Linked DNA regions of Oryctolagus cuniculus. The protein of the gene in region 6 purifies or fractionates together with the protein of the main gene of each other region. This does not show direct contact. Links are inferred from orthologs where the notes say so. Each region holds a gene or a part of one and is shown on either strand. Other genes may lie near its edges. The genes, in order: ADAR, NXF1, ELAVL1, HNRNPR, HNRNPAB, DHX9 and HNRNPA0.

Region 1 (3,500 bases), on a different chromosome or scaffold from region 6:
CTGCCTGAGTCCTTGGGCCCCTGCCACCCACGTGGGAGACCTGAAAGAAGCTTCTGGCTCCTATATTTGGCCCAGCCCTGGACATTGTGACCATTAGGGGAGTGAGCCAGCGGATGGAAGCTGTCTCTGTCTGTTTCTCCCTCTCTCTCCTTCTCTCTAACTATGCCTTTCAAATAAATAAAAATAGATCTTTAAAATGAAGGAGACAGTGGGCCGGCGCCGTGGCTCAATAGGCTAATCCTCCACCTTGCGGCGCCGGCACACCGGGTTCTAGTCCCGGTTGGGGCGCCGGATTCTGTCCCGGTTGCCCCTCTTCCAGGCCAGCTCTCTGCTATGGCCAGGGAGTGCAGTGGAGGATGGCCCAGGTGCTTGGGCCCTGCACCCCATGGGAGACCAGGAAAAGCACCTGGCTCCTGGCTCCTGCCAGGATCAGCGCGGTGCGCCGGCTGCAGCGGCGGCCATTGGAGGGTGAACCAACGGCAAAGGAAGACCTTTCTCTCTCTGTCTCTCTCTCTCACTGTCCACTCTGCCTGTCAAAAAAAAAAAAAAAAAAAAAAAAAAATGAAGGAGACAGGCCCAGGCCTTTGTAGGTGATAGCACAGTGCCTGCTCAGAAGTTAGTGAGTTGAGTTTATCACATGCAGTTGTGTAACCACCTTCAACTTAGGGCAAGTAACACTGCTTTTTTCATTTACAGTGATGATGAAGTACGTTTGCATTTTTAGAAAGTCAGTTTGGGGAACGACCTGGATCTAACAACAATCATGTCATGATCCATGAATGACCATAATCTGGGAAATTCTGCCTTAGAAACCGCTGTTAAGGGGCCCTTGTGTCTGCAGGTCTGGCCACATCGTAAGCAGAATGAAACCTCCCTGGAAGAGCTGTCAATATCTAATGTTTGTCTTTATCCCCACTTCTCATGCAAAGGTTTGTTTACCAAGCAAAAGTTGGAGGTCGCTGGTTCCCAGCCGTCTGCGCACACAGCAAGAAGCAAGGCAAACAGGAAGCAGCAGATGCGGCTCTCCGTGTCTTGATTGGGGAGAACGAGAAGGCAGAACGCATGGGTTTCACAGAGGTAACCCCAGTGACAGGGGCCAGTCTCAGAAGAACTATGCTCCTCCTCTCCAGGTCCCCAGAGGCACAGCCAAAGACAGTTAAGACGTCTACTTTTGGTGCTCTCTTTCTTGTGGGGGGAGGGGGTTCTGCTGACTCCTCCCTGGGTGGAGCTGGCACTTAACTTGCTGCATCGTGTGAGTTATTCCTAGGCTTTAATGTGAGCCCTAATTGAACATATAAGTGGGACTCTTGGTGTGAGGGGAAAGGTGACTCCCGAGGCGAGCAGAACACGATCGATGTCCCTGGCCGCCATGAAGCATGGTGGACGCAGACATGGCTGCCAGGTCCTGACACAGCCTCCTGTCCCCACAGCTTCCTCTCACCGGCAGCACGTTCCACGACCAGATCGCCATGCTGAGTCACCGGTGCTTCAACGCTCTCACCAACAGTTTCCAGCCCTCCCTGCTGGGCCGCAAGATCCTGGCTGCCATCATTATGAAGAAGGACTCCGATGACATGGGCGTCGTCGTCAGCTTGGGGACTGGTAAGTGAGGGCTTCCCTGAGTGCCCGGAAGTGGGTCCTCCTGGTCTCCTGCAGTCCACATGGGTGTGTCCAAGGCAGGGAGAAAAGACTGCTAACGGAGGTCAGGCATCTCCAGTCTAGAAGCCCCAAATCCAGAGTGCTCAACTCTGAACCTCTGAGCACCAACCTAATGTGTACTGGAGTTCAGATTTTCAGGTTAGGGATTCTACTGCAAAAATCAAAACTATCCAACCTCTGGGATCTGACACCTCCGGGCCCAAGCATTTCCAATTAGAGGTGCTCAACTCGCATTCATTCTCACCACAGCCAGCGCAGAGTGGGTGCTGAGTTCCTAGGGGGCACCAGGTGGGCGGCAAGGGTCTGGTGGCCCGAGGCTGCTTCTGCTTTCAGCTGTGAGGACACATCCCTGTCCCCCGTGGTTTTTGCCTTTGATGATTCCATTGCTGGTTCCAACATGCCCCCAGGGAATCGCTGTGTGAAAGGAGACTCTCTCAGCCTGAAGGGAGAGACGGTCAATGACTGCCACGCCGAAATCATCTCCCGGAGAGGCTTCATCAGGTGAGCGGGCGCCCGTGCTGACAGGTGGCTGGGGCGGGCCTGCCGCCCAGCTGTCCCAGGGCTCACGGCACCCGTCGCCTGCGTCCTGCTGCCCAGCCTGTTGTCAGGGCTCTCCTTGCTGCTGCTGCTGCTTCGTGCCTGTTGTGAAAAACGCAAAGTGACTCTCAGTCCTCCGGGCCTTGAGGCTGCGGCCGCCTTCCTTCTGCGTTTGAAGACCTGCGTGCCCCGGCAGCCTTCTCCGCTTCACCTGCTCTTTCATTCACGAAGGGACAGGCTCGGGGGGAAGCAGCAGCCTCCTGTTCCCCTGGAGTCCATTTGTCCCGCCCCAGAATCCCTGTGGCCACCATAGAGAGGAGCCCTCAGCAGAACTGAGACTGAGCCAGAAGGCTGGCTCTGCCGTAGGCGCACTGGGGCCTCGCAGGCAGGGTTCCCAGCGCCTCTTGCCACCGGAAGCTGGTGCCGGGCTGTGTTCTTAGGGTTTCTGCTTACCTGGGGGTCATGTAGGGCCAGCTCTTAGAAGCAACTGCTCTTGCCAGAATCAAACCTATCTTTCTAACCAGGCTTTGTTTCCGTAGGTTTCTCTACAGCGAGTTAATGAAGTACAACCCCCAGACTGCGAAGGAAAGTATATTTGAGCCTGCTAGGGGAGGAGAAAAGCTCCAGATAAAAAAGACTGTTTCATTTCATCTCTATATCAGGTCTGTATGGTCTCTGTTGCTGTCAGAGCGCGCCCTGCCAAGCTCCCAGGACTGAGTATCCTAACACGTCCCTGGCTCCCCGGTCAGGCCTCACACGATAGAGCACCCCGCATGGCGTGTGCACTGTGTGCCCTGGGTGCAGCCATTCTCACAGACGCCGCTGCCACCTCCAGGCTCACGGGGTGGGCTTCAGGAAATGTCCCTTGTTTCTGCCAGCTGGTCTGGGAGCCCCCGGAAATGGAGGGCGGTTGTTTCCGGGTGAGCTGTAACAGAGGCCCCGCTTCTCCTGCAGCACTGCTCCCTGTGGAGATGGCGCGCTCTTTGACAAGTCCTGCAGTGACCGTAATGTGGAGAGTACAGATTCTCGCCACTACCCGGTCTTCGAGAATCCCAAGCAAGGCAAGCTACGCACCAAGGTAGAGAATGGTGAGTGCCACGTGACCCTCACGCGTCCCACGGGAGGCTCTGTGAGACTGCCAGGTCTTCGCTGTTCGTCACTGGGCCCCAAGGCGGGGTGGACGGGGAAGGGAAGATCAAGGCTCCACTCTGAATTTGTTCTTTCAGAGGATCTCCCAAGCATACAGGAGGTGGAGGTACCAACCTGGAGCTCAGCCTGGCAATAAACTCACGGGAGTGCTCCTC
Region 2 (3,952 bases), on a different chromosome or scaffold from region 6:
ACTGCCACATGGGTGGCAGGGTCCAGGTTCCTGGGCCATCTTCCACTGTTTCCCAGGCATGTTAGTAGGGAACTGGATTGTAAGTAGAGCAACCCGCACACAAACCAGTGCCCATATGGGATGTTGGTGTCACAGGGGGCAGCTTAAGCCACTTTGCCACAGCGCTTGTCCTGGCCCTGGCATTTTGAAGTTCCCTCTCCTTGGCATCCCTCAGCCAGTGGCCTACCACAGCTGGTCACGCTGGCTGCTCAGCTGACACGGGATGGGCTCTAGCTCCACGTCTGGGTGGGGAGGTCTTTGATGATGAATGCTCGCTCAAAGCTTTACACACGCGGCCTCACTTGACTCCTCGTCGTTCTTCGAAAGAGAAAGGACACAGAACAGAACGCATTTGTTTGATGTTCCAGTCATGATACTGAGCCAGGAGCTGGAAGAAAGCCATGGATTGGGGTTTCTGCTCCCACGGAGTTTACACTGTGGTTTTCCATTTCGTCTTTCCTTTTTTTTTTTTTTTTTTTTTTTTTTTGAGAGGCGGAGTAAGAGGTCTTCTGTCTGTTGGTTCACTCCCCAAATGGCCCCAAAGTCCAGAGCAGGGCCGATCAGAAGCCAGGAGCTTCTTCCTGGTCTCCCACGTAGTTGTAGGGGCCCAAGCACTGGGGCCATCCTCTGCTTTCCCAGGCCATCAGCAGGGAGCTGGATTGTAAGTGGAATAGCCAGGACTCCAACCGTTGCCCATATGGGAATGCCGGCGCCGCGGGCGCTTAACCTACAACGCCACAGCGCCGGCCCTTATTTCGTTATTATTAATCCATGTAATAGACGAGGAAAGCGAGGCATTGACCTGAAGCCGGCAAAGAGGAAAACAAATACTACCAGCATCCTGCTGAGGGGAGCGCCGAAGCGGGGTTCCATTTCTCGAAGGCTCTCCGTGCGGCCCCTTTCCCTAAGTTCTGAGCTCCAGCAGCCCGCTCGCTGTTGCAAAGCTAAAGAACTGCCACAGCTGCCTGGGAGAGCTGATGAAAAGGTGGCGGGTGACGGACGGACTAGCCGGCAGCGAGCCGGGCACCCGCGGGCTCAGCTCCGAGGCGGGGCCTGGAGGGGGCGGGGCCCGCCCCGCGCGGCAGCCTTGCGTGTGCGCACGCGCAGGGGGGCGCGCCCTCCCTGAGGCACCGCCCACAGCCTGCGGACGTCGCTGGCGCGCGACGTGCTTCGCCGGATAAATGCGGTGGCGCCCCGCGTAAGAGCGCTTGGGTCTTGAGCGCTTGGGCGTTTGGACGTTTGGTGGCGTCGTGGCCGGCGCCTAAGCCAGCCTCTGTTCTTTGCTGTGCGATGGCGGATGAGGGGAAGTCGTACAACGGTCAGTGCTGGATCTCGTGTGTGGAGCGGACGATCTGGGGCCCGGGTGGGCGGCGCCGGCCTAGGCCGCAGCTCGGGGCGAGAGGCCGCGAGGGGTCCGGCGTCCGAGGGGAGCGGCGGCAGCGCGGGGCGGGTGGGGGCAAGGCGGTCCCCGGGGGGCCGGCCGGACTCGAGGTGGGCGCGCGAGTTGACAGGACTCCGGGGCACTGGCGTTGGGAGGACCTGCGGCTCGGAGCGGGCGGCTCGGGTGGGTTGACGGGATTTCCTTTGAACTTTGAGAGTGGCTGGTGCCTGTCAGTTCAGTTTGGCGGCCCGACTCTTCCTTTAATGTGACTCAGTGGGCTGCCCTGGTGCCCTGGTTTTGTTGTTGTTGTTTTTTTTTTTCTTACCGCGTCCAGTCGGCCTTGCCTTCTGGCCTGTGGCTTTGGCTTAATAGTTGAGACCGACACACCAACTGGATGTTTTGGTCCCGACACCCTACCGGCTGTGAGTCCATTATAGTGGTTTGGAGGGCCCGGCAGCCGAGTTTTGAAACCTGGGTTGTCTACAGCAAGCTGGAGGGAGTTAAACTCTCAGGCCTCTTTCCCAAACCCCTTAGTGTGGAAAGTAACTACCTGTTTCCTCTGTGTGTGTGTAAGAGAGAAGAGAGACTGTGTGTGTATGAGACAGACAGACCGTGAGATCATTACATACCAGGTGCTGGTAGCACAGTGCCCGGCACAGGAGAGTGCCTTCAGTGAGTGTTCACCGTACCCTCTGTTCATGTATTCTGCTTGGCCGGGGTTATCTGTTGGGGCTCATTATTTACAGAGTACCGGGCACTAGGTAGATGCGTTTTTCTTTGGAAGTCATGGACCATTTTTAAAGGAGCCGTTCCTACGGAGTTAGTAGGTTATGTTTATCTAGAGAGCATCTGGGGACCTTTCATTGAGCAGCCTAGGGTGGGGCTGCTTCTCTGGTGCCTGAGTCCAGGCCCGGTCTCCTGAGCTTTTAAAGGGCTTTTCTGGCCAAGGAAACGGAGCATCTCAGAACTTTCAGAGTGGCAGTTTAAGAACGTGGAGTTATTTTAGAGAGCCCTTTCAGTTGATCCTGTTGTAACTTTCATTCAAGCGGTATAGGTACATAACTGAGTGGCAGAATTCAGGTGGTTTTCAGGAGTCTGACTTGTGGGCAGTTACACTTTTGGGTTGGCCACACTTCTCCATTCTGGTTCTCTTCTCTGTAGTTCTGGTTTCTGCTTCGTTTTTCAAAAGCCCTGCACAGTCTCCCAATAACTTTTCCCTGATGATGTCATCCACGGTTTTCTGGAGGTGGCCCCTGTGGTTCTTATGTTCTCTCCCAACAGTGAGGCACTGTGATTGCCATATGGAGGTGCTGGGAGCAGTGGTGTTAATAATTCGTGTGCCTGTTTCTAACCGTAGAGTACGATGACCGTGTTAGTTTCCCTCAAAGAAGAAAGAAAGGCCGGGGTCCTTTCCGGTGGAAGTATGGTGAGAGTAACCGTCGCTCTGGAAGAGGTGGTTCTGGTATCCGGTCTTCCCGGCTTGAGGAGGATGATGGAGATGTAGCAATGAGTGACGCCCAGGATGGTCCCCGAGTACGATAGTAAGTGACCAGTTCGTCTGGGTTATATTAGTGACCCCCTAGATTATATAGCCCTCTTAGTGGCCATGTCATTTCTCTTCCCACCTGGAAGAATAAGAAATGCCAGGACCAGTTTAAATGGTCCTGTACAGTGCGGGGACAGTCTTTGAGAAAACTTTGGTAGCACATATGGACATTTTGCTCTGCCTCCTCACAGCACCCCCTATGCTGCCCGACCCAACCGCCGGGGCGACACTTGGCATGGTCGAGAGCGTATTCATGTTACTGTGCGGAGAGACAGAGCTCCTTTAGAGCGAGGAGGGGCCGGCACCAGCCAGGATGGGACCTCCAAAAACTGGTTCAAGATTACGGTGAGTACTGTGGGAAACAAAGCGGTACAGGGACAGGGGGACCTTGCTCAGAGTACAGGTGTTTGTTATTCCACAAAAATCTGTTTTCTTGGCCCTTTACTGCACAATCAGGTGTCCTTCCTTTCTCTCTCTCTCTTTTTAAATATTTTATTTTATTTATTTGAAAGAGTTACAGAGAGAGGTAGAGACAGAGAGAGAGGTCTTCCATCCGTTGGTTCACTCTCCAGATGGCCACAACGGCCGGAGCTGCGCCGATCGGAAGCCAGGAACTTCCTCCAGGTCTCCCACTCGGCTACAGTGGCCCAAGGACTTGGACCATCTTCTGCTTCCCCAGGCCATATCAGAGAGCTGGATCAGAAGAGGAGCAGCAGGGACTAGGACTGGTACCCATATGGGATGCCAGCGCTTCAGGCCAGGGCTTTAACCTGCTGCGCCATAGCGCCAGCCCCCATCCTTTCTCTTAAGGGTCAGTATCTTAGAACACTTTAGAACAGGTTCAGAGAAGGCAAGGCAGGGAGTAGGTAGAATGGGACAGAAGGGAGATGTAACTGTAGTCAGAAGGCAGAGGAGCTCCTCTGGATGTCTCCAATTGGCTGAGGCTGAATATGGGGTTTGGACTCCCTGAAGTTCTGAGGGTACAG
Region 3 (3,388 bases), on a different chromosome or scaffold from region 6:
TCTGCAGTCTGCTCGCCTTATCCCCTTGCTGGGACTTAGCCTTCTGTGCCTCTGCAAGGGTGGTGTCTCCCTAGGTCCTGGGATGCTTCGCTGTTGCCCCCCAGGGTCAGCCTCAACCCTCCAAGGGGTGCATGGCACCTGTGTTCTCTCCACCCACACCTCTGCCCAGCAAGAAGATATCCCTGAGACTCCCTCTGCAAAGCCCAGCTTCCCCACCCTAGGGTGCAGAATTGTAGACTAGGAAGGTGCACCCCAGGGTTATGGACCTCCCAGGAGGCCCTATGCTGGAAATGGGCTGCCACTTATTGGGACCTGCAAAGGCCCAAAGTGGGGCAGGATGTGGCCATGGGTTTATGTTGAGTTTGCCTCCAGGGGACATGCATTTTAGTGGTCAGGAGACCACGGACATTATCTTCAGAAGTCTTCACGTCTTGGACCAACAAAACTTAACTTTGTTTTTAATTTCTTTGCTTCTTTATTCATCATCATTGTGCACTTTATTGCTCATTCATCTGGAAATTGTGCCTTTTTTATCTTAATTGTGAAAAGCACTGGACAACATCAAAAGCACGGAGCTGTCTCTACAAGTGTACGTGGCACAGGGACACTGCTCTGCAGCTGCCATCCCGCCCAGCAGCTGCAGCTTCCTGTTATAATTGCCTCATGTTAGGGTTCGTTGAGGTTTCTGAGGCTAAGCTCCCGCTCGGCACGGGCACTGTGAAGTCACCGCTTCAACTCAGGAGAAAGTCTGAAACTTTAATTAGTTTATTTAGTTTTGTTTGTTTTAATTTAACCCGTTCATTTGCTTTCATGTTTAGGTTTGTTTTTGTTTGTTTGTTTAACCAGGCATCCAGTTCGTACCATAATAGACTGACTTGACTTTTGCTTTTCAGTTTTAAAGTTCCTTGCCTTTTTTCCCCTAACTCCATTTTTGTTGGTTTGTTAAAAAGGTTTGTCCAGAGGGGTTGCGTTTATCCGGTTTGACAAACGGTCGGAAGCAGAAGAGGCAATTACCAGTTTCAATGGTCATAAACCCCCAGGTTCCTCCGAGCCCATCACAGTGAAGTTTGCAGCCAACCCCAACCAGAACAAAAACGTGGCGCTGCTCTCACAGCTGTACCACTCACCTGCCAGACGGTTTGGAGGCCCCGTACACCACCAGGCACAGCGATTCAGGTGGGTCCCTAGGGCAGTGCGCTGGTGGCCTCGCAATGCGATGTGGGAAGCGTTGAGGGCGCCAGGCCCCTGCTGTTAGAAAGGTCTCCACGCTCCAGGACTTCCCGTGGAAGCCAGAGTCTGCAGATGCACAGTGCCTTCCATAAAGCAGTGTGATGTTTGCACAGAACCCTCATGCAGCCAGACCCTCTCCAGATAACTTAGAGACCGAATTCAACACAGAGCTGTGGAAACAGTGGTTGTATCGTTTGGGGAGTTAGAACAAGAGAGGTGTCTGTGTGTTTAGCACAGATGCAGGTTTTTCTCTGAATATTATCCACCCGCAGTTGGCTGAGTCTGCAGATGCAGAACCCCTGGAAGTAGGTGGCCAGCTGTACTTCTCCTGGGTTGTTCTCTTTCCTTGGATTTAAAAAGATAACACTGGCTCCTGGCAGAGAGCATACGGGGCTAACATGGCTTTCTCAGTAACATCAAAGTGGAGCTGTGAGTTTGAAAGATCACTCCAGGGGCAGGCTTGCCACACTGGGTGAAGCCACTGCTTTTATCTCCGCTTGCCCATAGCTCATAGCTGGGATTGAGTCTGGCCTCTGCTTCCCATCCAGCTTCCTGCTAATGCCCAGATGCCTGCAACAGCCACAGTTGCACCAGGCACTCCCATATGGGATGTGGTACTTGGGTCCTGGCACCTATGTAAGAGACCTGAATGGAGCCCCTGGCTTTGCCTGGCCCAGGAACCAAGTACCACATCCCATTAGTAAGAAGCTGGAGCTGGGTAATGAACTCAGCCGATGTGGGATGCAGGCCAGACGCTGGAGCCGCAGTGTGAGCCGGTGGCCTTCTCCATACCCCGCCTGCCTTGTGGGGTCGTTTTGGGTCTGAGTAGTAAATGTGCGGTGCAGGGGCCCAGCCCAGAGGAAGCACTGAGTTGGGCCTGCCTCCCGGGTCAGGTAGAATAGATCCGAGTCAGTAACTTGGACTTGACACTAGGACTGTCACTGCTGCAGGAACAAGGAAGACCTGGTTGAGGGGCCTTTGTGTCTGCTTTTGACTTTGTCAGCACCTGAAGAAGCGGTGTGAGGGCTTTTCTCGGGTGTGATTGGGGTTTTCTCCATGACTTTGTAGGTTTCCCATCTCTTGTGTGCAGTGAGGCTGGGTGGAGCCTGCTCGCCTCCACAGATGCTGTCTGGAGAGGCGTGTTCCCGGGGTGGGGGGGGGCATTACTCTGCAGCCCACCTGCCCTGGCTTTCTAGTGGAGACAAAGGCTGGGGCTGCTGCTGGCTGCTTTACACAGAATTGAGATGGTCAGCAGTGCTGCTCCTGATGGGATGGGTTGTGGGCAGCAGCAGGTGGTGAGTTACTCAGTAACCAGGAAAGCAGGAGGAGCAGAGGGACTTTGACCGCGGTCAGGGGCCCGGAGAAGCCAGCTGGTGGCGTAGCAGAGTGATAGAGGTGTGGCAGGGGATCCCTGGACAAGATGAGGGAAGGAAGAAAGGCCCAGAGGAGTGGAATGGGCCATCAGGTCCCGTCCTCCTAGAAAAGCTCCCAAAGCAGGGAGGGATCCTATCTCCTTATGTACTGTCAGAGAAGGGGTCATTGCTGCTGTCAGCTCTGAACCAGCTCTTGGGAGCAGCAGGAAGAGCCACTGGCCAGAATGAGAGGAGGGCTGATTGCGATAGCTGTGTAATAAAATAGGTGATGCTCAAAACTTGGGTCCATGAGTTCGGCACCTTTTCTAGGTGTCGTTAAAAACTGGCTGGGCTTAGTGTCCCGAGGATGCCGGGGTGTCCTCTGCGGCCCCGTGTGAACAGGCACTGGGGTCTCACCGTCATCCCAGGTGGCCATCTGAGTCGTCGTTCAACTCGGATGTCCTGTTGGAGCCCTTAACCTCATCCTTGTGATTTTGAAATCACTGCAGAACTGTGTTGTGACTCTTCACCTCCATACCTGCATCAGAAATCACCCTTGGACTCTGAGCTGCAGTCTGGGTGTCTTTAAGATTTATTTATTTGGGGAGCCAGCACTGTGGCACAGCAGGTTAAAGCCCTGGCCTGAAGCGCCAGCATCCCTTATGGGCGCTGGTTCTAGTCCCAGCTGCTCCTCTTCCGACCCAGCTCTCTGCTGTGGCCTGGGAAAGCAGTAGAAGATGTCCCAAGTCCTTGGGCCCCTGCACCCATGTGGGAGACCCAAAAGAAGCTCCTGGCTCCTGGTTTCA
Region 4 (3,500 bases), on a different chromosome or scaffold from region 6:
TCTCTCTCTCCCCCTCTCTCTGTTTGTAACTCTGCCTCTCAAATAAATAAATACATCTTTTTAAAAAAAATAAATAATAAAGTACTATACAAGCTTATTAGTTCTATACTACTAGACATCTCAGAAGCCAAACAATTCTGTACTAAACTATGAATTTTATTAGCAATATTATCTAATTCATTCCCATCAATAATTAAACAAATTAATTCTACCCTAGTCAAGGCTTCTATAAGGTCTGTTTTATTTTCTGGGCAAGAAACAAACAAAATGCTCATATTAGAAGTGGCAGGATCCCACTGACAGAAACTGTAGAAAAACAATCAAGCATGGGGCCGGTGCCATGGCGCAGTAGGTTAATCCTCTGCCTGCGACGCCCGCATCCCATATGGGCACCGGTTCTAGTCCTGGCTGCTCCTCTTCCAATCCAGCTCTCTGCTATGGCCTGGGATAGTAGTAGTAGATGACCCAAGTCCTTGGGCCCCTGCAACCACATGGGAGACCAGGAAGAAGCTCCTGGCTTTGGACTGGCGCAGCTCCGGCCATTGCGGCCATTTGGGGAATGAAGCAATGGAAGGAAGACCTTTACTGTCTGTAACTCTACCTCTCAAATAAATAATATTTAAAAAAAAAAAAAAAAACCCACAATCAAGCCTGAATCACTGAGCAATTTGGACCCATCTTCCTAATTACCTAAAAAAGATTATTAGTGTTTTGTCTTCTTTCTCTTCCCAAGGAAGGCATGAACAGGAGGAAGAAGAATCAAAATTCTACCTGCTAAGCATGGTACTGACTCACCATCAATGAAAAGCAGCAAAAAACTTCAGGTTTTATGTGCTAGAAACCATACAAAAACATTTTTCCCACACTTTCATTACTATCATCAACGAATAAATCAACTACTATATACAAGTATCCCTTAACAATTACTGACATCAGTGAAACATAGCTAATACTAGTCTCACTCTAAAATGTTTAAAGGCAGGGCAGGCACTATAGCAAAGGGGGTTAAGCTGCTGCTTAGGAAACCCTCATCTCATATTTCCAGGCCTGGATGCTCTCTTCTGATCCAGCTTCCTGCTGATACACATGGAGACCGAGATGGAGTTCTAGGCTCTTGGCTTCAGCCTGGCCTAGCCTTTTCTGTTGCAGGCATTTGGAAGTCAACCAGTGGATCAAAGACCTGCCTTTTAAGTAGATGAATAAGTATTAAGAGAGAGAGAAGAAAGAAAAAGACTGAAGGCAAAAACATAAAGAACCAGCCACACCCTCAAAATACATCTACAAAATTAAAAGATACTATATCATGGTAAAGTCATTATACTACTGGGTTTCTTTCACATGTCTACAGAGCTGAGGTTCAGAAAGAAGCTATAATATAGTTACTGCCTGTTTAGTATTTACAGCAGCTAATGATTGTATCTCATAATACTTCTATGGCATCATGCTATCAAATGTTAGGCTTACAATAACAGAGATTAAAAATAACTTACCTGAGATCACAGTCACAGTAATAATCTGGCATTGAAATACAGTCTTGTTATACTACTTTATAGAGATTATTAAAAAGAAAGTTCCAAAGTTCAGCAAAAGCCAAAAACCAATTTTATTTGTTTTTAAAGTTACTTTATGTGTTTACACATTTCAACAACAGAATTCAGGTACCAAGAAGTAAAATTTCTAAATTTCTACCTTAACAGCTGCTCCTCTGTCTTCAAAATGAACAAATGCATAATCTTTCAACTTCTTTACTCTTTCAAGTTTTCCAAATTCAGAAAATGACTTTTCCAAGATTTCTTCTGTCACCGTAGTAGCCAAATTTCTCACAAACAAAACTTTCACCTAATAGCAACAAATATACAAGATTGGCACTGGATACTGAATTTTAGCTAGTGTTCAAGTATTTCTTCCTGTCTTCAGGCACAGGCTTTTCTTCTCCAAAACATTAGCATTAAAAGTAACATTACAGGAAGTATAAGAAACTGTCAAGAAAACACTGACATTAGTCACCAATTTACATAAATTGTTGGTTCCTGTCTTCTACCCTACCATTAAAGCATTTAACACTAGGAACAGATCCTTCAAGAAACCAACACTGATTATTGCTAAGTTAATTCGCAAATTTAACAGGATATCTAAGTTCCCTCTTCAATGAGTTTTCCTATTTTCTCTCCCTAGAACCAGATAACTCTTTAAAATTCTTATGAAATAAACAATAGAACAACACATGAGAAATCTAGAGCCTAGCCCTATGAAATACAAACTATATATTTACATAATTGAATTAGTACTGTGCTTATCTGGAAAAAAGTTAAAAGTTGGTCCATACCTCACTATATACCAAGATAAGCTCCAAATAGACTAAAAATGTAAATGGTAAGGGAAGGTGGGGACTATGAAAATACTGGCAGAAAACAAGAGTAAATCTAAAAGAGTAATACTACTAAAAGTAAATGCCTTCTATATGGCAAAAAATACCATAAGTAATGTCAAAAGGAAAATGACATATCACAGAGATAATCTTTTCTATTAAAGCATCAGAAAATAAGAAAAATCCCAACAAATGAAAAATAAGCAAATTCATGAATCCATGGTTTAATACAAAGAAACACATGGTCCTCCAAATACATTAAAAGCTCAAGCTCATACATAGTAAGAAATACAAGTCGTAACAGCATTGAGATACCATATTATCAGACCAGCAAAATCCAGAAGTGTGATCTCACACTATTTTGTCAAGGATGAGGAAAACAGTCCTCTTATATTGTGCTGGTGATAGAATATACCAGTACATCCCCTACAGAGAAGAATATGGTAATATCTTAATAATTACAGATCCATTTAGCTTCAGCCTACAATCCATCTTACAGATACATTTGTACTTCTATCATCTGATGTGGTACAAGTTCATTCATTACAGTATTGTTAACAAAAAAAAATGGGGGGACAGAAACATCCAGCAAGTATGCATGTGCTACGGCACACCCACAGAATGGAATATTATGCAGCCACAGTAACTAGGATGAGCTCTATGGGCTGATATAGAGATTGCTAGGATACACTATCGGTAAGACACATTTCCCCCCATTTTTGTATCTCTGAAATGGGAGTAAAAATTTACAGTCAATATGGTAAGCAAGCTTTGTGCCACACTATTGGCAACACTTTATACTTTTTAAAAATATTTATTTATTTATGCATTTATTTGAAAGAGTTACAGAGAGAGGAAGACACATACACACAGAGAAAAAGAGAAAGAGAGACAGAATGAATCTTCCCTCTGCTGGTTCACTTCCCAGATGGCTACAATGGCTGGAGCTGGACCAGGCTGAAGGCAGGAGCTTCTACAGGGTTCCCACTTGGCGGAGAAACAGAATAACAAAGCAAATAGAGATGTGTGAATATGGGCTGGCACGTGGCACAGTAGGTTAAGCCACCACTTGCAGTGTCAACATCCCACTCCCAATCCAGCTCCTTGCTAATGTGACTGGGAAAGCAGCTGA
Region 5 (3,978 bases), on a different chromosome or scaffold from region 6:
GCAGCGCTGCCTAAGTCTCTGTGGCGCTATGTGAATTCCAGTCGTGGAATCCAACCTCCGGAGTGAAGAGGCTAATCTGGGCCTTGGGGTGGAATACAGGGTGGGCTGTACAGTGTGGCTAACTCTGCAGATCTTTCCAGAAAAGCCTCAAGTCAATATTCATAGTCTTTTCAAAATGTGGAATTGTGACATGTTTTCATCCTCGGGACAACCCCATTGGCTGGAGGAGATTCGGGAGTCCACCCACTGCAATCTCAGGCCACTGGCCTAGGCCTCGTGCCGGTGACCCTACCACCCTCCCTAGGGTTGTTGGAGCCCAGGAGGGGACACGAGGCCCAGCCCCCGGGCCCGGCCCCGGAATCCGGCGGGAAATGCAGCCTCGGTCCGCGTTCCCAGAGGCCGGCTGGGGGCCACCCCTGGATTAAAAGGAACCCCGAGACTACTCCGGCCTTTCAAGCTCCGTGCTCAAGAAGCTGCAAACGCGATCACTTTGTGTATTACGAAGAGAACTAGCCCCCGCCCGATCTCATGGGAGTGATTATTTTTCGTCGAAACGAGTACCAGCGAAGAGAGTCTAAGGGGGTCTAAGGGGGCACTTTTTTTTTTTTTTTTAGTAAACAAAAGTGTAAACGCGGCGTTAACCAAGGCGGTGGCAGGTGACCGGGACCGAAGAAAGGCACGGCCCCTTCGTCCTCGCCCGGGGCACACAGGGCGGGAGCGCGGCGCTGAGGGCACCACGGTCGGGGCCGGCGGGCTCGGCCCAATCTCGCCAGAGCCGCGCTGAGGCGGCTTGGACGACTCGAGGCGCCCAATCGCGGAAGCCCGGATTCCGCAGCTTACACCCGAGCGACCTTGGGCTGCGAGACTTCCTCAGGCCCCATTTCCTCTTTTGGGAAACGGGGAGGCAAATGGCTGCCAGGGCTGGGGAGAGGGGCGCGAGGAAGAGGAATGCGGCCTCGCCGAGCTCAGGGTCTGGCTCGGGCCTGCCCGCCGCCCCGCTGCCGAGAACCCTCCGCAAGGCCCCGGCTCGCGCGGGTTCTAAAATGAGGACAAAGACCCGCCCGGATCTAGAGCGCGCGCGCGGCAGCGACCAATGAGCGAGCGCCGAGGGGCTGAGTGATGGGCGAGTGCACCCAATGAGCGTGCGCTTTGTTGCGAGGTGGCTCCGGCTCCGGCATTATAAAGAGCGCCACGAGTCGGCATTGTCAGGCGGCGGCACCTCGCGGGCCTGGTCCGTGGTGTGGGTCGGTGGGCTCTTTGCGGCGGCGTCCGAGGGTACGCGGTTCTTGCTGCTCCGTCGCGGACGGAGGGGAGGCCCCGGCAGCGCGAACTTGAGCGCGGCCGAGCCCGCGGCGCCTTTCCCGGCGGGTGGGGGACGAGTGGGCCTCGCGGCGTCATCGGCGGCGAGGTGAGCGGCTGGGCCGCGCGGGGCGGCGGGCGGGAGCGCGGGCAGGAGGCCGGCCGGCCTGACTCGCGGCCGCCGCCGCTCGTTGCAGGAGCCGCCGCGACCCGGTCTAACATGTCGGAAGCGGGTGAGGAGCAGCCCATGGAGACCACGGGCGCCACCGAGAACGGACACGAGGCCGCCCCCGAAGGCGAGTCGCCGGCCGGGACCGGGGCCGGCAGTGGCGGCGGCGGGGCCGCGGCGGGGGCCGGAGGCGGGACCGCGGCGCCCCCGAGTGGGAATCAGAACGGCGCGGAGGGGGACCAGATCAACGCCAGCAAGAATGAGGAGGACGCGGGGTAGGTGTGCGGGCCGCGGCGGCGGCGGCCGGGGGGCGCCGCCTTTGTTCCGGGGCCGCCTTTTGTTGGCGCCACGCGGCGGGGGGAGGGGCGGGCGGCCCCGCGGCCCGGCCCCGGCCCCACGGGCGCTCGCCCGCCGCCCCGGACTTGGCCGGAGTTTGTCCGGTCGGCTTTGGCGCCGCCCCTGGGCGGCTGGCGCGTGCGGCGCGGCCGGAAGCGGGGCGCTCGGACCCGGGCGACGCGGGGCGCAGGGCCGCGGCGCGGCTGCGTGGGCGGAGTTGGCGCGCGCCGGGCCTGCCTCCCTCCGCCTCCTGCCGGGGGCGGAGCCGCGGGCTGAACCCAGGAAGCCGCGAGTGGCGGGGCGGAGGCGGGGAGGGACGGGGGCCTTTGCTGTGCGCGCCTAGGACACCTTGGTGGCTCGTCCGGCGAGATCGAGGCCGCGTCCCGTTCGGCTTTGTGCGGGGCCGGGTTGGGTTGGGCTGGTCATGGAGCCTCGGCGCCCTTTAAAGGCGGGCAGACGCACTAGGGAGGCTCTGGTGTAGAGTGGGCACGAGCGATGGCTTTCTAAGTCCTGTGCATGAACGCTTAGCCAGGACCGGCCGTTCCTAAAATCACAGCTTTCTTATGAGATTTGCTGCTATGTGTCTCTACAATTTCAGGAAAATGTTCGTTGGTGGTCTGAGCTGGGATACCAGCAAAAAAGATTTAAAGGACTATTTTACTAAGTTTGGAGAGGTCGTTGACTGCACAATAAAAATGGATCCCAACACTGGACGGTCAAGAGGATTTGGGTTTATCCTCTTCAAAGACGCAACCAGTGTGGAGAAGGTAAGCTGAGTGCTGTGGTAGCAGTCTGTGATTTGAATTCTTAAGGGCACGTGGTCGGTGCTTTGTGTGAGTGCTGTGGAAAAATCAGAGGTGAGTTAGGAACTTGATGTTTTTGAAGGGACAGAAACAGAATAAGGGGGGCATAGTGGAGGGTGTGTGCTGGAGTGGCTTGGAAAAAAGATAATGCTAGCTATTTTTTGGGTACCTATACTCGCAGTAGTGAGGAATACAAAACAGCTGACAATAGCTGTGAGGTGGGCACTTAGCTCTGTTTTGCAAGGAAAAAACATAGGTCTTAAAAGTTTGAGCAGAAGAGATCACATAGCTAATAAGGGGTAGAGCTCTGGTTCTGATGCTAGCAACTCTTTCCGTTCCCTTAATGCTATTTTATTTCTGCAGAAGATGGGCTTTAAACTGGGACCCCAAAGGTGGGGGGCACACACAATATGGGCAGAGGTTCACAGGAGTCAGGACTGTTGAGGTCAACCAGATGCAATTGAGGCAAAAACAATGTTGGGCAATCAGCCTGGGGTCACTTTGTAGGCATGTGCTGGAGCCTTGGGGTTCAGAAAGGGCCCTGCCCAGGGTCATGCTGCTGAGTTAGAACCTGACCCTTTTCTGTTGGAACAGGTCCTAGATCAGAAGGAGCACAGGCTGGATGGCCGTGTCATTGACCCTAAAAAGGCCATGGCTATGAAGAAGGACCCAGTGAAGAAGATCTTTGTGGGGGGTCTGAATCCTGAAGCTACTGAGGAAAAGATCAGGGAGTACTTTGGCGAGTTTGGGGAGGTGAGTTGTAGACTTCAGAATGGCATTGTTTTGGAGTCCTCCACAGGGATTTCTTCACCTCTGGCAGTCACTGGGTCTTTTCTCCTAAGAATTCTCCACATGCCTTGGGGCATGGGAGGTGATGATGGTGGTCAGCCTTGCCTGTTTTCACAGATTGAGGCCATTGAGCTTCCAATGGATCCAAAGTCGAACAAAAGACGGGGTTTTGTTTTTATCACCTTTAAAGAAGAAGACCCCGTGAAGAAGGTTCTGGAGAAAAAGTTCCATACCATCAGTGGAAGCAAGGTAAATGCCCCCAGCTTGGTGAGCTGGCCTTTGCAGGTGTGAGTTAGGGGTTGGGCTTCTGCCAAGAGCTGCCAAGAGCTTAGTCAGGCCTTAACCACAGTGAACAGAGCTGTCCTGATTGGGGCAGGTAGTTGGGTCATTCAGAGTTGACAGCAGCAGGAGAGAAGGGGTGGCTCTACAGCACGCTGAGCAGCCTCTGGGTGTCTGGTTTAAAGCCGGAGGTGATAGTGTATGGTGTCTCTGCAGTTGAAATCTTCTGGGACTGACTGATTTTTCTCAAGTTTTTCCTGCTCCAGAGCTTTTCTTCCTCTTTGTGACCAAATCTTTGCTTGC
Region 6 (3,500 bases):
AGATGTTCCGTGCCTTAGAAATAGAGACAGTGGTCCAATTCTTCATCTCTTGATGGGAGCTGGAACCATATACTTTAATTGGCAAAATCTTTACAGTGGTCCTGGGTACAGATATTGTCCCAATTTAAAAGATCATAAAACCAACATAGAAGTTCACAGTTTTAAGCTTTATTCAGTGAGGACATTGTAAGATTTCGTCTCAGGCTGAGCTAGAGCAGAATCTGCGCAGGCCTTGGCGCTCGTGTTTCCAGATGCGGTGCTCATGAACTGTAGTTGGACTTGGACGCGCCTGCCTCCATTCCGGTGGGTGTCCTTTGCTGCGTCTCTCCATCTGCACACGCAGCAGTTTAAGAACAACAAATACATTGACCATTGACCTTGGTCCTGCTGGTCACTCAGAGTAGGTGGCTGGCGAGGGATTGTGTTACAAGTTACCACCCCAAGCCTAGGTTTATGGTTGAATCAGTAAGGGAATACAGACATTTAGTTTTCTGATTATGGAGACTCGGCAAAATTTCCTCTTGAGCTTAATCTGGGTACAAGGCTTCTGAGAAGAAAAAGGCTTCTAGACAGATCAGTTCTTTTATTCTTGTGTAGTTTGCCTGTGATGTGATGATTGGCCATTACCTGATTTTTTTTTTTTTTTAAACCTCATTCCTAACAGATTGTTTGTTGACACAAGTGTTTACTAACACTGGACCAGATAATAACTTGGATGTTGTTATCTCTCTCCTGGCCTTTGGTGTGTATCCCAATGTGTGCTATCACAAGGAAAAGAGAAAGATTCTTACCACCGAAGGGCGCAATGCACTTATCCACAAATCGTCTGTTAATTGTCCTTTTAGCAGCCAAGACATGAAATACCCTTCCCCCTTCTTTGTATTTGGTGAAAAGGTAAGAAAAGTTCACATCAGAACGTAAGTTTTGGGTTTCTTTAGGCCTAGTTTATATTATTAGACAGTTAATGTAACCTGTTTACTCTTGCCATTCTCTCCATCTGCAGATTCGAACCCGCGCCATCTCTGCTAAAGGCATGACTTTAGTCACTCCCCTGCAGTTGCTTCTTTTTGCCTCCAAGAAAGTCCAATCTGATGGTCAGATTGTGCTGGTAGATGACTGGTATGAACTTTTGCATGTGAACTCTTAGATTAGCATCTTTTTTTTTTTTTTTTTAAGATATATTTATTTAAAAGGCAGAGTTATGCAGAGGCAGAGAGAGAGGTCTTCCATCTGCTGGTTCACTCCCTAAATGCAAGAAACAACAGAGCTGGGCCAGTCTACAGCTAGGAGCCAGGAGCTTCTTCCAGGTCAGGATCCTACGTGGGTGCAGGGGACCAAGCACTTGGGCCATCTTATACTGCTTTCCCAGGCCGTAGCAGAGAACTGGATTGGAAATGGACCAACTGGGGCCCATATGGGATGCTGACACTGCAGGTGGTGGCTTTACCTGCTACACCACGGCACTGGCCCCCAGCCTCATTCTTAAAAACCTAAAAAGCTCCAGTGTGGAGTCTTTCATTCTTAGTGGAAACTGCGTGGTCTGCATTGCAGGCAGTTTTTGGCTTGATGGTTTTATGGTTTACAATTCCTGCAGATAGGTAGCAGTGAATTTTAAAAGGTTAGTGCGGGTAGTTGTTCTTTGTACCCCTGTCTGCCTGAGTCTGGGCTGCTGTAGTAGCTTAACAATATGGTGCTTGCCATATTGGCAGTTTTCTGTTACCTACTTCCTTTCTTATTTTGTATTGCTTTTCTCCATTTTAGGATCAGACTGCAAATAAGCCATGAAGCTGCTGCCTGCATCACTGCTCTGCGGGCTGCAGTGGAGGCTCTTGTTGTTGAAGTGACCAAGCAGCCCAGTATCATCAGCCAGCTGGACCCTGCCAATGAGCACATGCTGAACACCATCCGCCAGATCTCCAGGCCCTCAGCTGCTGGCATCAACCTGATGGTTGGCAGTACACGGTAAGTACCAGGGTCACAACTGGTGGTGCCGAGCCAGAGGCTTTGTCATCTCACAGAGGCCTAGAGTTAGTTGATAGTGGAGTTATTTAACTTGAATTTCTAGAGAAACACTAAATGTGGGATTTAATTCTGGGCAACACATTCAGAATGAAAGGTTGTTACTTTGCTTCTGTGTTGTAGTGCGTCCACTTTGTCGGTGTAGGTAGAGTCAGATGGGGCCCTTGAAAGTGCAGAGGCTATCCAGGGAGCCACATGATGGAATGTAACAACAGCCCGATGGTCCTTTCTTCCTCCTCACTGTTCTGACCTCCCTACAGAGGAACTTGGTGAACCCTTCAGTCTCCCACAGATGAGAAGTATCAGTGTTTACCTTAGGAAAATAGTATAGTATAGTCTTAAATGTGACGTTTCTCTTCAGTTTTAAAATGCTTTTTTCATTTTTCAATAGCTTTTTGTCTGGGATTATTTGATACCTACAAGAAAGGCAGAATAGTACAACATACACCCATACAGTCTTCATTTAAGTTCACTTACTTACCTTCAGTGTTTTGTGCCATTTGTATAATCATTTGTGATAAATTTGCAACTTCAGGAAATTTTGTGTCAGAATTTCTTTTGTCTAACAACATGGCCACAACATCATGGACCCATCTCAATTGAGAAGTATTATATTAATAATTTAAGTTACAAATGTTTGTTAAATACCATTATCCAAAACGTCTCTCTACTCTTCTTATCATAGATAACTTACTACATTTGGTTATAAATGCTTTTTTTTTTTTTTTTTTTTTTTTTTTAATTTATTTGACAGGGAGAGACAGAGATCTTCCATTTGCTAGTTCATTCCCCAAATGGCCACAACAGCTGGAGCTAGACCAATCTGAAGTCAGGAGCCAGGAGCTACTTTCAGGTCTCCCACATGGCCTCAGGTCCCAAGCACTTGGGCCATCTTCTACTGCTCTCCCAGGCCATAGCAGAGAGCTGGATCAAAAGTGGAGCGGCCAGGACTCAAATCAGTGCCCATATTGGATGGCAGTGCCACAGACAGAGACTTAACCTACTACGCCACAGTGCCAGCCCTGTAAATGCCTTTTTATTTTTTTTAGAAAGCTTTTGTTTAATAATTATAAATTTCATAGATAACAGCTTTTGGAATATAGCAGCTCCCCCCCCATACCCGCTCTCCCACCCCCACTCCCATCCCACCTCTTACTCCCGTTCCCATCCCATTCTTCATTAAGATTTTTAATTATCTTTATATACAGAAGATCAGCTCTATACTAAGATTTCAACACTTTGCACCCACAAAGTACTGTTTGAAGACAAGTTTTGCCATTAATTCTCATTGTACAATTCATCAAGGAGAGAGATCCTACATGGGGAGCAACTGCACAGTGATCCCTGTTGTTGATTTAACAGTTGACACTCTTATTTATGACGTCAGTGATCACCTGAGGCCCTGGTCGTGAGCTGCCAAAGGCTATGGAAGCCATTTGAGTCCACAAACTGTCATCATTTAGACGGCCATAATCAAAGTG
Region 7 (3,503 bases), on a different chromosome or scaffold from region 6:
GCAAGTTTCCTGCAGAAATCTTATCTAGTCTTCGTCTCCCAGATCCAGTACAACTTTAACCTCTTTCCCAAATCCTTCCCCAATACTCGAGGAAACAGCGAGGAATCACTCTGAGCTTCTTCAGTAATAACCACCTGGTTTGGGAGGCTCTTGGTGTCCTAGTGCCACGTCCCAGTCTAGGCATCTTGTTTGGCCACAAAGGTTCAAACAGTTCAAAGTTTTGGCCTGCGGAGGGCACTTAAAGGCAGGCATCAGGTGTGCAGACGGGCTCTTTGCGAATACAATGCTCAGCTATTCTTGGTTTGATATAAAACGTCTGGAAAAAGCCAAAACGTGAGTTGGAAGGGGGCAGCGCACAGATGACTTAAGTTATGAGTGTATCCTGAGGTAAGTGAAAATGTCTGCAGGAGTGTGCGGAGCGGGTGGGACGTTAGATGTGGCGGAGCCCCGCCTCGGCGTGAGGTTTTCGCACCCTGTTATCTTTCACACCGCCTCGGACTCGCTTTTGCGCATTACTACGCCACGTGTTCAAGTTTTGGTTCAGCCACGCGCCCGGCCCACTGGTAACCGTTACCAACCGCCTCCCTGGACCGGTCCTCCGCCCTCCATCTTTACGGGGGCGAGAGGAGGGGCGTGGCCGCCAGGTGTAGCCGCCCGGCCGAGACGCGGCGGGTAAACCCCGGCCCCGAACCCCAGCAGTTAAGTTTTCAAAGCGCCCGCGCGTGGCGCCCCAGGCAGTAGCCGTTGGGAACGGCCCCCAGCGAGGCCCCCAGCCCATGCCCCGCCCAGCCCGGAGCGGGAGGAGGCGTGCAGGTGGCGGCCGCCCCGCACTCCGGGGGCGCCCGGGCAAGCGCGCACTGGGGGCGCGCCCGTCCAGCAGCTGCCGAGAACGGAAGTGGGTGCGTGGGGTTGCGGCGATTGGCTGCACTCACACGCCTCTCAAGGGGCTGGCGCGAACGCCACTGCGGAGCGGGGCGAGGGGATAGGGGAAGGGGAGGGGGAGAGTCACTGGGAACAGCCGGGGGCTGCTCGGAAATGAACTGCGGAGGGTCGCGGAGGGCAGGGCAGGTCCGTTGCCAGGGCGCGCCGAGGCGCCCGGCAGTGACAGATGGACAGCAGCAGGCGTGGGCGCGCCCGCCGGGGCCGAGGGCTTGAATAGACCGCGGCGGGCGCGGAGTCTGTGGTTGAGCCCGGCGCTGCGGCGCGGTAGGCGGGACCAAGAGGAGCGAGGCGGGGATTGGCGGGCGGCCCTAGGCTACCGTGCGTCGGTGGTGACGCACGCCGCGGGGAGGGTACGCGCGCGTTCAGCGGCCTCTTTGTGTGGTGCCCAGATAGGGGAGCGGAGGTGGCGGCGGTGGCGGCAGGGGCGGCCTTGGGTGCTCGCCCGTCTCCCCGGCGCGCCCTCCTCGCCCGCACCGCTCCCCTCCCTCCCCCTCCTCTTCTCCTTCCCTCCCCTCCCCTCCCCTTCCCCGCCGGTGTCCGGCGGGGGCGGCTCCAGCGACGGCTGGGCCCCAGTTGTGAAGAAGCCTCGGCGACAGATAACGGCGACGGCGAAACCTCGGGGCTCGCGGGGCGGGGGCAAGGCCCGGGCCGTGGAGATGGAGAATTCCCAGCTGTGTAAGCTCTTCATCGGTGGCCTCAACGTGCAGACGAGTGAGTCGGGCCTGCGCGGCCACTTCGAGGCCTTTGGGACCTTGACGGACTGCGTGGTGGTGGTGAACCCCCAGACGAAGCGCTCCCGGTGCTTTGGCTTCGTGACCTACTCGAATGTGGAGGAGGCGGATGCCGCCATGGCCGCGTCGCCGCATGCCGTGGACGGCAACACGGTGGAGCTGAAGCGGGCCGTGTCCCGCGAGGATTCGGCGCGGCCCGGTGCCCACGCCAAGGTGAAGAAGCTCTTTGTCGGGGGCCTGAAGGGAGACGTGGCCGAGGGCGACCTGATCGAGCACTTCTCGCAGTTCGGCGCCGTGGAAAAGGCCGAGATCATCGCCGACAAGCAGTCGGGCAAGAAGCGCGGCTTCGGCTTCGTGTATTTTCAGAACCACGACGCGGCGGATAAGGCCGCGGTGGTCAAGTTCCATCCCATCCAGGGCCATCGCGTGGAGGTGAAGAAGGCCGTCCCCAAGGAGGACATCCACTCCGGCGGGGGCGGCGGCGGCTCCCGGTCGTCCCGGGGCGGCCGGGGCGGCCGGGGGCGCGGCGGGGGGCGAGACCAGAACGGCCTGGCCAAGGGCGGCGGCGGCGGCTACAACAGCTACGGGGGCTACGGCGGGGGCGGCTACGGGGGCTACGGCGGCGGCGGGGGCGGCTCGTCGTACGGGGGCAGCGACTACGGTAACGGCTTCGGCGGCTTCGGCAGCTACAGCCAGCACCAGTCTTCGTACGGGCCCATGAAGAGCGGCGGCGGCGGCTGGGGCGGTCGCAGTAACAGCGGACCTTACAGAGGCGGCTACGGCGGTGGGGGCGGCTACGGAGGCGGCTCCTTCTGAGAAGCTGGAAATGCCTGGGAGCGGCTGCAGGGGCGGCCCTGAAACATGCCGAGTGGGGTCCACTCCTGAGGCCCGTACTCCTCCACCGCCTTCCCCATTTTGCCCTTGGGGGAGCCGCTGAGGCTGCTTACCCTTGGGAGTGTCCCCCTGTTTACCTGGCACCTCTCGACCCTCCCTCTGAAGATGGACTAGACCCCCCCCCCTACATTTTTGTGTTACAGTCATTGATGGACTCTATTTTTTTATTATTACTTGGAACTTGGTCGTTTTTATACTAGCAAGATGTCTTGTTTTAATTTGTGTTTTTTGGGGGGGAGGGAGTGAATTTGCTCATTCTGTAGCAAAACCCGGGCGGGTGTTTGGGAGGGGGAGTAGTTTACTTTGTTGTAAGGACTTGATACCTGGCTACAGCGTTTTCTATGATCTACTTGGATCCCATGCCTGAAATTTGGAAGCATATGTACAAAAATCATTTTTACGTTTTATTTTTAATAAATCATTGTGTTTGACCGTACATGTCTAACATTTTTTTTTCTAGGATCCATTCCGTACCTATTTAAGGGATATTGGTTTTAAGATTTTGTGTGTGTGTAATTCTGGATGTGTACTTAGAAAAGCTTTTCAGAGGTTCTGTGTTTTTATCCTCCCCCGTTGCTCTGCTAGTGACATGTTGAAGTTTATCCCTTTCAGGCAAAACTTGAAGTGGTGGATGTGACTCTTTAAAATCTTAATTTATGTGCATCCATCGCTTGTACTGAGTGATTTACTTAGCATCTTGACATAGTTGGTCACTTCTTTCTATGAGACTTTACTTCAAAGTATGTACTGTGTAGTTCTAAAGAAGTAGTTTGTGTTACGCATGTGTTCTCATTCATACAAACTGTTTAAAATTTTTCAGATGGCTGAGTTTCATCCCTCTTACTGATTTGTGTTTAATGAATGGTTACAAATAAGGGTTATGTTTTACCCTCACACTAAATGCGTTTTTGTATTTTCTGAGCAGGTTTAATCCTT

Evidence for each region.
Region 1: the proteins of DHX9 (region 6) and ADAR purify together in Homo sapiens (affinity purification with western blotting; 3 studies listed by BioGRID and IntAct, with this or other methods). This does not show direct contact. The link is inferred for Oryctolagus cuniculus from reciprocal best matches to the Homo sapiens genes DHX9 and ADAR.
Region 2: the proteins of DHX9 (region 6) and NXF1 purify together in Homo sapiens (co-immunoprecipitation; 4 studies listed by BioGRID and IntAct, with this or other methods). This does not show direct contact. The link is inferred for Oryctolagus cuniculus from reciprocal best matches to the Homo sapiens genes DHX9 and NXF1.
Region 3: the proteins of DHX9 (region 6) and ELAVL1 purify together in Homo sapiens (affinity purification with mass spectrometry; 3 studies listed by BioGRID and IntAct, with this or other methods). This does not show direct contact. The link is inferred for Oryctolagus cuniculus from reciprocal best matches to the Homo sapiens genes DHX9 and ELAVL1.
Region 4: the proteins of DHX9 (region 6) and HNRNPR fractionate together in Homo sapiens (co-fractionation; 3 studies listed by BioGRID and IntAct, with this or other methods). This does not show direct contact. The link is inferred for Oryctolagus cuniculus from reciprocal best matches to the Homo sapiens genes DHX9 and HNRNPR.
Region 5: the proteins of DHX9 (region 6) and HNRNPAB purify together in Homo sapiens (affinity purification with mass spectrometry; 3 studies listed by BioGRID and IntAct, with this or other methods). This does not show direct contact. The link is inferred for Oryctolagus cuniculus from reciprocal best matches to the Homo sapiens genes DHX9 and HNRNPAB.
Region 7: the proteins of DHX9 (region 6) and HNRNPA0 purify together in Homo sapiens (affinity purification with mass spectrometry; 3 studies listed by BioGRID and IntAct, with this or other methods). This does not show direct contact. The link is inferred for Oryctolagus cuniculus from reciprocal best matches to the Homo sapiens genes DHX9 and HNRNPA0.

What each region holds. Positions count from the first base shown.
Region 1 is NC_091438.1:43,899,367-43,902,866, forward strand, and holds part of ADAR (double-stranded RNA-specific adenosine deaminase), read left to right. Parts: intron 1-929; coding exon 930-1,155; intron 1,156-1,430; coding exon 1,431-1,602; intron 1,603-2,066; coding exon 2,067-2,160; intron 2,161-2,735; coding exon 2,736-2,858; intron 2,859-3,150; coding exon 3,151-3,284; intron 3,285-3,500. UniProt on the Homo sapiens protein: Catalyzes the hydrolytic deamination of adenosine to inosine in double-stranded RNA (dsRNA) referred to as A-to-I RNA editing.
Region 2 is NC_091432.1:8,788,272-8,792,223, forward strand, and holds the start of NXF1 (nuclear RNA export factor 1), read left to right. Parts: upstream 1-1,152; 5' UTR 1,153-1,329; coding exon 1,330-1,357; intron 1,358-2,777; coding exon 2,778-2,961; intron 2,962-3,157; coding exon 3,158-3,311; intron 3,312-3,952.
Region 3 is NW_027208201.1:4,154,569-4,157,956, reverse strand, and holds part of ELAVL1 (ELAV-like protein 1), read left to right. Parts: intron 1-950; coding exon 951-1,176; intron 1,177-3,388. UniProt on the Homo sapiens protein: RNA-binding protein that binds to the 3'-UTR region of mRNAs and increases their stability.
Region 4 is NC_091438.1:147,606,395-147,609,894, reverse strand, and holds part of HNRNPR (heterogeneous nuclear ribonucleoprotein R), read right to left. Parts: intron 1,840-3,500; coding exon 1,690-1,839; intron 1-1,689. UniProt on the Homo sapiens protein: Component of ribonucleosomes, which are complexes of at least 20 other different heterogeneous nuclear ribonucleoproteins (hnRNP). hnRNP play an important role in processing of precursor mRNA in the nucleus.
Region 5 is NC_091437.1:63,781,176-63,785,153, forward strand, and holds the start of HNRNPAB (heterogeneous nuclear ribonucleoprotein A/B), read left to right. Parts: upstream 1-1,178; 5' UTR 1,179-1,408; intron 1,409-1,496; 5' UTR 1,497-1,519; coding exon 1,520-1,743; intron 1,744-2,402; coding exon 2,403-2,571; intron 2,572-3,201; coding exon 3,202-3,360; intron 3,361-3,513; coding exon 3,514-3,645; intron 3,646-3,978. UniProt on the Homo sapiens protein: Binds single-stranded RNA. Has a high affinity for G-rich and U-rich regions of hnRNA. Also binds to APOB mRNA transcripts around the RNA editing site.
Region 6 is NC_091444.1:1,076,311-1,079,810, forward strand, and holds part of DHX9 (ATP-dependent RNA helicase A), read left to right. Parts: intron 1-664; coding exon 665-894; intron 895-1,003; coding exon 1,004-1,119; intron 1,120-1,761; coding exon 1,762-1,962; intron 1,963-3,500. UniProt on the Homo sapiens protein: Multifunctional ATP-dependent nucleic acid helicase that unwinds DNA and RNA in a 3' to 5' direction and that plays important roles in many processes, such as DNA replication, transcriptional activation, post-transcriptional RNA regulation, mRNA translation and RNA-mediated gene silencing.
Region 7 is NC_091437.1:25,591,714-25,595,216, reverse strand, and holds HNRNPA0 (heterogeneous nuclear ribonucleoprotein A0), read left to right. Parts: upstream 1-1,293; 5' UTR 1,294-1,598; coding exon 1,599-2,489; 3' UTR 2,490-3,003; downstream 3,004-3,503. UniProt on the Homo sapiens protein: mRNA-binding component of ribonucleosomes. Specifically binds AU-rich element (ARE)-containing mRNAs. Involved in post-transcriptional regulation of cytokines mRNAs.